Cricetulus griseus: one gene and its partners. The protein of the gene in region 2 interacts with the protein of the main gene of each other region in a pairwise test. Links are inferred from orthologs where the notes say so. Each region holds a gene or a part of one and is shown on either strand. Other genes may lie near its edges. The genes, in order: Fbln5, nuclear fragile X mental retardation-interacting protein 2 and proprotein convertase subtilisin/kexin type 5.

What was found.
Region 1: the proteins of nuclear fragile X mental retardation-interacting protein 2 (region 2) and Fbln5 interact in binary tests that used the Homo sapiens proteins (3 or more experiments, as listed by UniProt). The link is inferred for Cricetulus griseus from reciprocal best matches to the Homo sapiens genes NUFIP2 and FBLN5.
Region 3: the proteins of nuclear fragile X mental retardation-interacting protein 2 (region 2) and proprotein convertase subtilisin/kexin type 5 interact in binary tests that used the Homo sapiens proteins (3 or more experiments, as listed by UniProt). The two-hybrid records come from large-scale screens. The link is inferred for Cricetulus griseus from reciprocal best matches to the Homo sapiens genes NUFIP2 and PCSK5.

The regions. Positions count from the first base shown.
Region 1 is NC_048598.1:104,199,279-104,203,031, forward strand, and holds the start of Fbln5 (fibulin-5), read left to right. Parts: upstream 1-1,326; coding exon 1,327-1,382; intron 1,383-3,753. UniProt on the Homo sapiens protein: Essential for elastic fiber formation, is involved in the assembly of continuous elastin (ELN) polymer and promotes the interaction of microfibrils and ELN. Stabilizes and organizes elastic fibers in the skin, lung and vasculature.
Region 2 is NC_048600.1:91,085,973-91,089,625, forward strand, and holds part of nuclear fragile X mental retardation-interacting protein 2, read left to right. Parts: intron 1-2,488; coding exon 2,489-3,653. UniProt on the Homo sapiens protein: Binds RNA.
Region 3 is NC_048596.1:43,663,963-43,666,964, forward strand, and holds the end of proprotein convertase subtilisin/kexin type 5, read left to right. Parts: intron 1-2,000; coding exon 2,001-2,383; downstream 2,384-3,002. UniProt on the Homo sapiens protein: Serine endoprotease that processes various proproteins by cleavage at paired basic amino acids, recognizing the RXXX[KR]R consensus motif. Likely functions in the constitutive and regulated secretory pathways.

The DNA of each region.
Region 1 (3,753 bases), on a different chromosome or scaffold from region 2:
GTCATGTCTTTTGGATCATAGTGTCTTTGGTACTTTTGCACTAGATCGAGCGGGTTCCTCTAGAGTTGGTGCTAGAAAACAAGAAGGAGGGAAAGTAGAAGAAGGAAGAGAAGAAGCCGGGAGAAGAGGAGAGAAGAATCCGGGAGAAGAGGAGAGAAGAGAGGAAAGAGGGCTTCCAGGGCCCATGAGTGGCTCACTATTCTTACTTACTTTGAAGGCCAGAGACACTTACTAATTAATGCAAGAAAAGGCCAAGGAGAGCGATGTGAGGGCGGCCAAGGAGAGACGTACCCTTTGAAGTTCTGATCTCATACAGCCTCCCTTCTCCGCTCCTGCCCCACATCCTTGCTTGGGAGCATCACGCACGTCCCAGCCCTTGGTAGTGAGTTCAAGTTCGTGCTTCTACAGGGCGGGATGACACTCCCCGTCGCGCGCGCCCTGCTCCGCCCAGGGGAGGCCGGGCGCCCCCCAGTTCGGCGCACTGCCGGGCTCCCCTCCCAGCGCCGAGCACTTGGCCCTGGCAGACGCCCCAAGATTGTTGTGAGGAGTCTAGCCAGTTGGTGAGCGCTGTAATCTGAACCAGCTGTGTCCAGACCGAGGCCCCATTTGCATTGTTTAACATACTTAGAAAATGAAGTGTTCATTTTTGACATTCCTCCTCCAATTGGTTTAATGCTGAATTACTGAAGGGGGTTAAGCGAAACCAGGTGCTGGCGGCGAGGGCTCTGCAGTGGCTCCCAGCACCCGGCACTGTCCCGGCCCTCCGCGCAGCCCGCTCGGCCCCTCCGGAAGCAAGTCGCCCGGGTCCTGCCGCAGAGTCTGCCTTCCTCGCATCGCCTCTCCTCCCGCGCATCTTGGTCATGCCAGGATTAAAAAGGTAGGTTCGGAGGCTCCAGGCTCGGGAAACCTAACTCCAGACCTGATGGGTGGAAAAATGGCTATGGCTGAGATTCCGCCCGTGTCAGGGCACTGGAAAAGAGTTTAGCTAGTGATGCAATGACACTGTTAATTACAAAAAGCTGCGCCGCTCGCTCAAAGTTCCATCTCGAAGCCTTCGTTTGGGAGTGGGGATTTTTCTAACAGTGTCCGGAGCCAGCATCTCGAGAGAGGGCTGCAGACAACCTCCCTGTGTCATTCCTCTTTCTTTTTTGGAAAGGGCAGCAACTTTTTTGCGCACTTTACAAAATATCACACTACATATTTTTTAAATTTGGGAAACCGCTGGCCACGGCACCAGCTTTGCTGCGAAGGCTGCGGGAGAGAAGCCGAGGGAGTCTCAGAACACTCCTGGCTGCGTTTGCTCTATGTGTGCGATTCACAGAGGGCATGGGACCCAGAAGTTTCGAGCCAATGAACAGTGGACACTGCAGACAGAGACGCATGTAAGCAAATGTTTGCTGTTCTTTGCGGAAATTGCAATTCCAGTCAAATAATCCTTGAGCCTTGAGGAACTTTAAGGATGACATCTGTTCCGCCTTTCTCCAGCGTCTCTTGAAAACATAGCTGTCCTGCACAGATCTACACACTTTCTGTGTGTGTTTGCGTGTGGGAGGGGTGCATGCATGCTAATACAAGCTGAGCCATATTATGGTAAGCCATAGCAATATTGTCATCCTGCGTCCAGACCTGCAGTGTCTGTCAATGACAGACAGTTCTGAGAGTTGGAGGGTCTGTTTTCATTCACTTTCCTTTTTGGCGGGGAGGGGGTATGGCCGACCAAGATTCAAAAGAAAAGCTTTGGAACACAGATTCCCTCTCCGGTATTAATTATGCTTCATTTTTGGAGTTTTTAAGGTTTTCATGACAAGCTACAGCTATTCTTGATGTGGGAGCAGCAGAGTTGGGTACTATTTCCTTCTGGAACGCCTTTCCATTAGCCTGGAGCTTATTTGGCCCCCAGGACCCAGCCACAGCTCTTCCAGGAGGCTGGGCTTGGGGCTGGCTGGCCCTGGGCTGGCTCTAGCCAAAAGGAATGGGGAGTGGGGTAGGGGGGGAAAGCCGGTAGGATTAGCATGCCTTTTCCAGTCGCTCTTGAACTCCCCTGCATATAGCCAGGCTGTTCTGTCTCCAACATAAACGAGACAGGATTTTATAACCACCTGAAAGGAAACTTCATGTGAAGAAACAGGAAAACATTGAAATTCATAATATACAGACTGGAAAATAAATTTGTTATTGTTCTCTCATTCCTTCCAGATATAAAGTCTGGCTCTTGCAAATATCAAAAAGCCCCGGGATTTGGCTCTGCACTTTATAAGGTCAGAGCTGTCGCGAGTGTTGGAGAACCTGGCTCACATAGGCCCTTAGATGAAACGAAAACTTGTCTACTCAGGATTGGATCTGGGACTCCATGAAGGAAGTGGGTTTGCATCTTCCAGTGCATCAGGCTCAATTTTATCTGGATGCCACTTTAACTCTGGGTCCTCTACTTACCTACTGCTGTTTCTCCTGAGCCATGTGACAGGGATGTGAATGAGTTTGTAATCTCCTGAGCACTAATTCTGAGAAGGCGGGGACTATAGAGCCATGGTGTAGGGCAGCACAACAAGCCTCAGACTCCAACCAGGTCAACTAGGTCCCCAAGTTCATGGCCATGCTTCAAAACATCCAAGACCGCCTCCTCTGGGACACCTTCCCTGACTTTGCTGTCCCTCCCTCAGCCTGACTCTTAGCATCCATTGGGTTTTTCTAGCATTCTCATCAAAGGGAAGCTCCATTCCTGGTCCATGCTGCAAAGTAGCCAGCTCAGGTGGTGGGCAATGGGGCCACAGGTCTGTAACTCTTGTCCAGTGTCTATGCTCAAACAGTAGTTGTCAGACAAATACTAGAAAACTGAATAACACTAGTAACCCGCTAGACCCCTGCGTCTGTATGCCTTTTGTATTGTGCTATGTGCATTCACTTGGCTATGTGATGATTCCACGACTCTTTATCCTGCAAAATAGCTCTTGTACCCTGACCTATGTTGTGGTGCACATCTGTAACTCCAGCATCTGGGAGGTAGAGGCAGGAGAATCAAGAGTTCAAAGCCAGCTTTGGCTGCATAGCCAGTTTGAGGCTAGCCTGGGCTGTATTTGAGACCCTGTCTTAAAAAGCAAAAGCTGGCTATGGTGGCCTGTGGCTTGTAATCCCAACTCTCAGGGAGCCGAGGTACAACTGCCACAAATTTGAGGGCAACCTGGGCCATATTGTGAATCGTAGGTCAGCCTGGGCTACAGAGTAAGACCTTGTTTCAAAAATGAAATGGCACCCCAAGCCACAAAGCAAACAGAATAAAAAAGGGGAAAATATGAAAGAAACTCTGTACATATTGAATACTCTCACAGCCCTGGGAGCCACCATTTTGCTTTCTGTTTCTGAGTCTAAAAACTCTGGGTACATGATGTAAGTTGAATTCTACATGATTTTGTGTGAGTCACTTATTTCACAGCATGATGTCCTCGTGGTTCGTCCCTGTTGTCACCTTTTCTTCATTCTGTCTGTATATCTATCTATCTATCTATCTATCTATCTATCTATCTATCTATCTATCTATCCATCCATCTATTTGGGGCATTTGTTACGGTGCATGTGTGGAGGTCAAAAGTTAACTTTTAATACTTGTTTCTCTCCTTCTGTTATGTGGGTCCTGGCCACCAGGTCATCAAATTTGATGACAAGCTCCCTTTCCTGCTGAGCCATGTCATCATCTGCCTTTTTCCACTGTTTACTTTATTTTTTTAAGATAGGATCTCACTATATTGTTCAAGTTAG
Region 2 (3,653 bases):
TTTGACATTGAAACAACTATAGTGGCCTGTTTTGTAAAGTGAGGATTGAACCTTAGGCCCCTGGGTGTGCTAGGCAGGAGCTATCTAACACTCAGCCATTAAGTTGTAATTCTGGTGTTTCACCCTCCAGTGTAGCTGGAATTAGTGTGGGCCACTGTTTCCTATCTGAGCTTTATTTTCCAAGAGTGATTTCTGGTATCTGAATCACAAGTAGTGCTCTTAGGTAGAATTATTCTGGTTTACTTAAAAGAATGCTTTGATTCATCTTGGTTTGAACATCAACTTTAATTATGCATGTAGCATTGCCCACCTTTAGTTGAAATACAAAAAATTATGAGTAATAAGCCAGAAGATACAGATATTGCTTAACCTATTGAGCTATTAAATGGTGAGGTAGTTCTTGTCTTTGGTCCAGAGTTTCACAAGGGCAAATTTAATGATGATCTGGGTCTCCCCTTCCCCCAATTTTTGTTTTTTGTTGAGACAGGATTTCCGGGATGAACCACTGTCTGGCTTATTTGTTTTTTGAGACAGGGTTTCTCAGTGCAGCTCTGGCCTAGAACTCTCTCTAGATCAGGCTGGCCTCTAACTCCGATCCTCCTGCCACTAAAGGTGTGCCACACAGCAGCTTTCTTCGGTTTTTTTTTTTTTTTTTTTTTTTAAGAAATTTTTAAGGAAAAAAACACCACATAGTGGTCTTGTCTCTTTTCATAGTTAGACTCTTTCTGTGAGAGGAAAAAAAATGTGTTTGAGTCGGGGTCCTAAAATGTAGTTCCAACTGGCCTGGTATTCATTTATGTAGAATATCTAGGCTGGCTTCAAACTCACTGATCCCCCTGTTTCTGTTTTCTCAGTGCTAGGATTGTAGGTATGGCCACAACTCCATGAAAACTTTTATTTGGGAACAGATAGAATTTAGTGGTAGAGCACCTGCTAGAACTACTCATCCCTAAGCAACACAGGAAGTCTGACTTGTATCATAGATTTTTAAAAAAACAGTGCTTTAGCACTGGAATTTTTTTTTCTAACAACTGAGGATTGCGCTTGGATTTCATGTATGTCGGTCAGGAAGTTAACTTCTACTAGGAGGTAATGGCACACTTCTTTAATCCCAGCACTGGAGGGGGTGGGGGCAGAGGCAGGTAGATCTCTTAGTTCAAGGCCAATCTGGTGTATAGAGTGAGTTCCAGGATAGCCAGGGCTACAGAAAAACCCTTTATCAAAAAACCAAAAAACATTTTTTTTAGTTATTAAGAATTGAGGATTTCCCAAAGGACTTTAGAGGTCATAAAACATTTGATGGCTAATTACCATTTTACTAGCAAGTAGGAGTTGTGACCCTAGTAGATCACTTGTAATCTTTAAACTTAACTATCAACAGGGAAGTTTTACATTCAGATACTTGACAATTTTAAAAAATTGGATTCTTTCATTGTGAGCAAGCATTGCATAAGGGTAGAAACCTGTGAGTTCTAGACAGGACAGAGTTTAGATTTCTAGTTCTGTCTCTTTGTGGCCTGTGTGTTACTTTATCTCCCTAGGGCTTGGCTTTTAACCCAAATATAAGAACAATTTTTTTTTTTTAAAGAACAAATTTTAAGGGTTAGAAACATTGGTACATATTTTTTTGTTTAATGTGTTACGGTATGACCTGATATGAAAGTCCCTGGGCATTATAGCTCTCTGTGTTAGATGCATTGGCAACTAGCCATGTAAGATTTTAATTTTTCAGAGGCAGGTGGATCTCTGTGAGTTTGAGACCAGCCTGGTCTACAAGAGCTAGTTCTAGGACAGCCTCCAAAGTCACAGAGAAACCCTTTCTCAAAAAAAAAAAAAAAAAAGCAAGCCAAAGATTTTAATTTTTCACCCCTTTTTGGTGGGGTGGGGGTTAGTACTAGATTTTGAATTCAGTGGTCATACATGCTAGGCAAAGGCCACATAATTTCTTTTCTTTTACATTTTTCTGTGTCTGAACACTTGGGATTTTGCCCAGAGGGTAGCACTGGTTGTAATTGTGTTTGTTTTGATACAAGGTTCTACCCTGTAGCACAAGGTGGTTTCAAACATGCAATCATCTTGCCTTAGTTTTCAGTGTGCTGGAATTGCAGGCAGGTACTATACCCGCCTGGATTGTATTGCATTTAATTAATTGTGAGGAAATTTTTATAATAGCCTCATGGCCATAATGTCTAGGTTTATTCTGTTTAGATAATCTAAAGGAGTATTATGGCATGCTGCTTGAGAGGTCCTGTTCTTTCTAGTTAATTCTGGCTAGTGGCCCAGTAGATGGACCTGATGTGAATTATGTCCTAACTCTGCCTACCAATGAATTCATAATCTGTGATATGGTGCTGACAATTTTCTTTTCATGGTGTTATGAGGTAACAAACCCTACAGCATAGTATCTGGTATTTAATAAGCAATTTCTAGTCTTCAGTACTAATGTGATTTAAATGTGTTTTGTTTTGTTTTTCTTTTCCTTCTGTAGGCTATGGTGAAATAAATGGTAATGCTGGAGAAATATCTTTAAAGAGCCTCAGTTCTGATGAAGCTACTAACCCTATTTCTAGGGTCCTCAATGGCAACCAGCAAGTTGTAGACCCTAGCCTGAAGCAGACTGTAAAGACCAGCACCTTTGGAAAAGCAGGAATTAAAACCAAGAATTTTATTCAGAAAAACAGTATGGACAAAAAGAATGGGAAGTCTTACGAAAACAAATCTGGAGAGAACCAGGCGATAGATAAGAACGACGTAGCAATTCCAAATGGTGTTATAACAAATAATTCAGCCTATATTACTAATGGTTATATGGGCAAAGGAGCAGATAATGATGGTAGCGGATCTGAGAGTGGATATACTACTCCTAAAAAAAGGAAAGCTAGGCGCAATAGTGCCAAGGGTTGTGAAAACCTTAATTTAGTGCAGGACAAAATAATGCAAGAGACTGGTGTCCCAGCATTAAAACAGGGACTTGAAAGTTTAAAGCCTGACTATAGTGAACAAAAAGGAACTCGAGCAGATGGTTCGAAGCCTATTTGGAAGTATGAGACTGGGCCTGGAGGAACAAGTCGTGGAAAACCTGCTGTGGGAGACACACTTCGTAAAAGCTCAGATATTAAACCTGGTTTGAGCAGCAAAAAGTTTGATGATCGGCCTAAAGGAAAGCATGCCTCAGCTGCTGCCTCCAAAGAGGACTCATGGACCTTGTTTAAACCACCCCCAGTTTTTCCAGTGGACAATAGCAGTGCTAAAATAGTTCCTAAAATAAGTTATGCAAGCAAAGTTAAGGAAAACCTCAACAAAACTGTACAGAACTCTTCTGTGTCACCATCCTCATCGTCATCCTCTTCACTATCTACTGGGGAAACTCAGACCCAATCTTCAAGTCGATTATCCCAGGTCCCCATGTCAGCTCTGAAATCTGTTACTTCTGCCAACTTTTCTAATGGGCCTGTTTTAGCAGGAACTGATGGAAATGTGTATCCATCAGGGGGTCAGCCACTGCTAACTACTGCTGCTAGTACTTTAACACCCATCTCTACTGGGACTGATTCAGTTCTTCAGGACATAAGTCTGACTTCAGCAGCTGTTGAGCAAATTAAGTCTAGCCTTTTTATCTACCCTTCAAATATGCAAACGGTGCTGTTAAGCAC
Region 3 (3,002 bases), on a different chromosome or scaffold from region 2:
TGTAAGTAAAGAAAATCCAAAACCCAAAACTGATACCAGCTGTTTATTGTTTTGTTTGTTTGTTTGTTTCAGACTTTCAATTAGTTTCCAGGTTTCACCTTTCCAAGAACTTTCCTTTCTCAGCTTTTACCCACCAAGAGCAGCTGGTTTGCCAGACCCTTATCTGCACCCCCCTCAGGGTCTGAAGCTGGGCTGACAGCTGAGAGCAAGAGCCCTGTTACATCAATGTTCTTAAATGAAAACAGAAGCATGAGCCTCTTGGGTGCAGTTTCTGAAATGTCAGTTCCAAGAAATAATTTGATAGTTTTCCTGGTTCCTAAGAGGCTCTGAAAGAGTTATCTGGGGCAAACCCTACCAAAAAAAAAAAAATCCTCTTGGGCTAAGGATACAGTTCCGTGATGGAAAGTTACAGAAGTATGTGTATGGGGAGAAATAACGAACCCAGATATTCAAGCTTACTTGAGTCTTTGCTTCTGAGACAGCTTTCCCCTCAAGAAAAACCAAATGGTAGAGGCTGACCCTGACCCAACACCTAAGACTAAGAACTGTAAGACCTGAGTGCATTCAGCACTCTGAAAAGAAAACAACCTCCAAAGGTCCATTGAACATTCTCCTGCCTCAGGAGCTGTGAGCCATGGACAGATTACTTATCTGTCCTTCTAGTGTGTTCATATTTCCTCCAGGGGGAAAGTCTGTGCTGACACTGGTAATGTTGAATACAATAATGATAATACTGTTACTTTAGAGGAAACATTTTTTTTTTGCTAGATGGGCAAAATTCTGTTAGAATAAAATAGAAGTTAAGCATCAGCAAAATAAAAGTGTGTGTGAAGTGTGTGTGTGTGTGCAGGGGTTACTCAGTTGCAGGAGTGCTTGCAAGGTCCTTGTGGAGGGGTAGAAGAACACGAAAGAGGGGCAGGGAAGGGGAGGGGAGGAAGAGCCTACTTTGTATTAAAAATTTGTACATCCAACTGGGCAGATACCTATTCCTCTGGCTGTTTTATACTTTTTGCCTTACTGTATGGTAGGTTAAAAAGAAAAGGTAATAAAAGTAGTTAAGCAACTCAAATCATACTGCCTGAATGAATGAAAATAAAATGAGAAAAATCAACTAAATGCTCAAGCTATGCCATACACTGTTTTGGTGCTGCAACATCCTCAGGGAAGCCCTGAAAAAAGAGGCTTATAAATAAGAAAGGGAAGGGCCCTGAAATTCAATAATTTCAATTACACTATAAATCCCTTGCTAATGGCAGTCAGGATTTTAAGATGATAAAGCATGCCTTTTCTTGCTCAGGGAATGCCATGGCTATTCAAGGAAACCAAACATGTGGTCAGAGAATTTGCCTCCAGAATCCCACCTAGAGTTGAGGCTAATGGATTGGAAAGTCTACTTGTTACACAAAATAGTTCTTGTCTATGACAAGCAAGTCGGCCCAAATAATTTCCAAGGCCACACATGACTAAGAGTCAGTAGGCTTTATAAAAGTATGCTTCATTGGTCTTGAAGGGTGGCACCAGTCTAAAAAACAGTTAAAGAGACATCTCCATCTTTTAAAAAAAAAATTCAGAGTTCTTGTTTAGAAGTAGACACACCACACACACATACACACACACACACACACACACACACACACACACACACACACACACACACACATCTCAGAAATGGAAAAATCACTGAGAATGTTGGACCCTTAGAGACTGGCCCATGAGATAGGGATCTGGGGTCCCTTTGGAATCTTAAATTGACCATTCTAGGAGCATCAGTTGGTTTTATTAAATATAGATTGGGACTCTTGTGGGCCAGATACTGAGTTTTGTAAAGTGGTATACCTCCTAAGAAAACGAAAAAAAAAAAAAAAAAAAAAACCACTGATTCTACCATTTTAGGTTTAGAAAAGAAATGGAGGGGCAGTTCTTTACTTCAGAATCTGATTTTCCCATTTCTGTTTCCTCTTTTCTCTCTTGCTGCTGCCTCTGGGGTGGCCTGGTATCAGAGGAGTGCATCCTTCCAGTCAGCGAGACCGTGCCCTCGGAGCGCACCAAGACCGCCCTGCTGGTGACCTCGGGTGCCATGCTGCTGCTGCTGCTGGGGGCCGCTGTGGTCGTGTGGCGGAAGTCTCGAAGCCGACCTGTGGCAAAGGGGCGCTACGAAAAGTTGGCGGAACCCACCGTGTCATACTCCTCCTACAGGAGCAGCTATCTTGAGGAGGACCAGGTGATCGAGTACAGGGACCGAGACTATGATGAAGATGATGAGGATGACATCGTCTACATGAGCCAAGATGGCACTGTCTACCGGAAGTTCAAGTACGGGCTGCTGGAGGAGGCAGAAGATGATGAGTTGGAGTACGATGATGAGAGCTACTCCTTCCAGTAAACAGAGCCTGCCTTGTAGTCCCCATGGCTCTCAGCCTTGCCTGGGGCTACCATCGCATTGGCTGAGGTTCGAGTGTGTGTGCTTTGTCCTAACTTTGTTTCCAACCTAAATATGTAGGGATGCTGGAGTCTGCTGTGCTGCTCTTGACTAGCTGAGTGCAATGAACAGATCCTGAAAAGCGAGAATTCAAAGGCATTTTCCTCGAGGGTTCGTCAAGACTTTAAACGCAGGAAGTGGAAGTGGAAGATCTGTTGAACACTCTAACATGATTTCTAAAGTGGACGGAACAGAGGACCTGTAAGGATTCTGCTGGAGACCCCTGCTTCCTTCTGGAATTCTGATAGTTGACCCACTAGTGGAGAGATGTAGTGGAGAGTACCAGAGAGTTGTTGGGGCTGGGGTGGGAGGACTCTCCCCTTTCAATTGTGTTTAAGAAGAAAATCTGTAAAGAGCGCGAAAAGGGGCTTGTTGTTTCTTTCACAGTACTTCTGGGGAGCCGAAAGGCCATCTCTCCTGTGAATGCTCAGGACCCATCTAAAACGAAGGATTAGCGGCCTCAAGGCTGACAGAGCGCATGCTCACTGGGCCCTGGCTCCTTTGCAAAGACCAGAATAAGGAT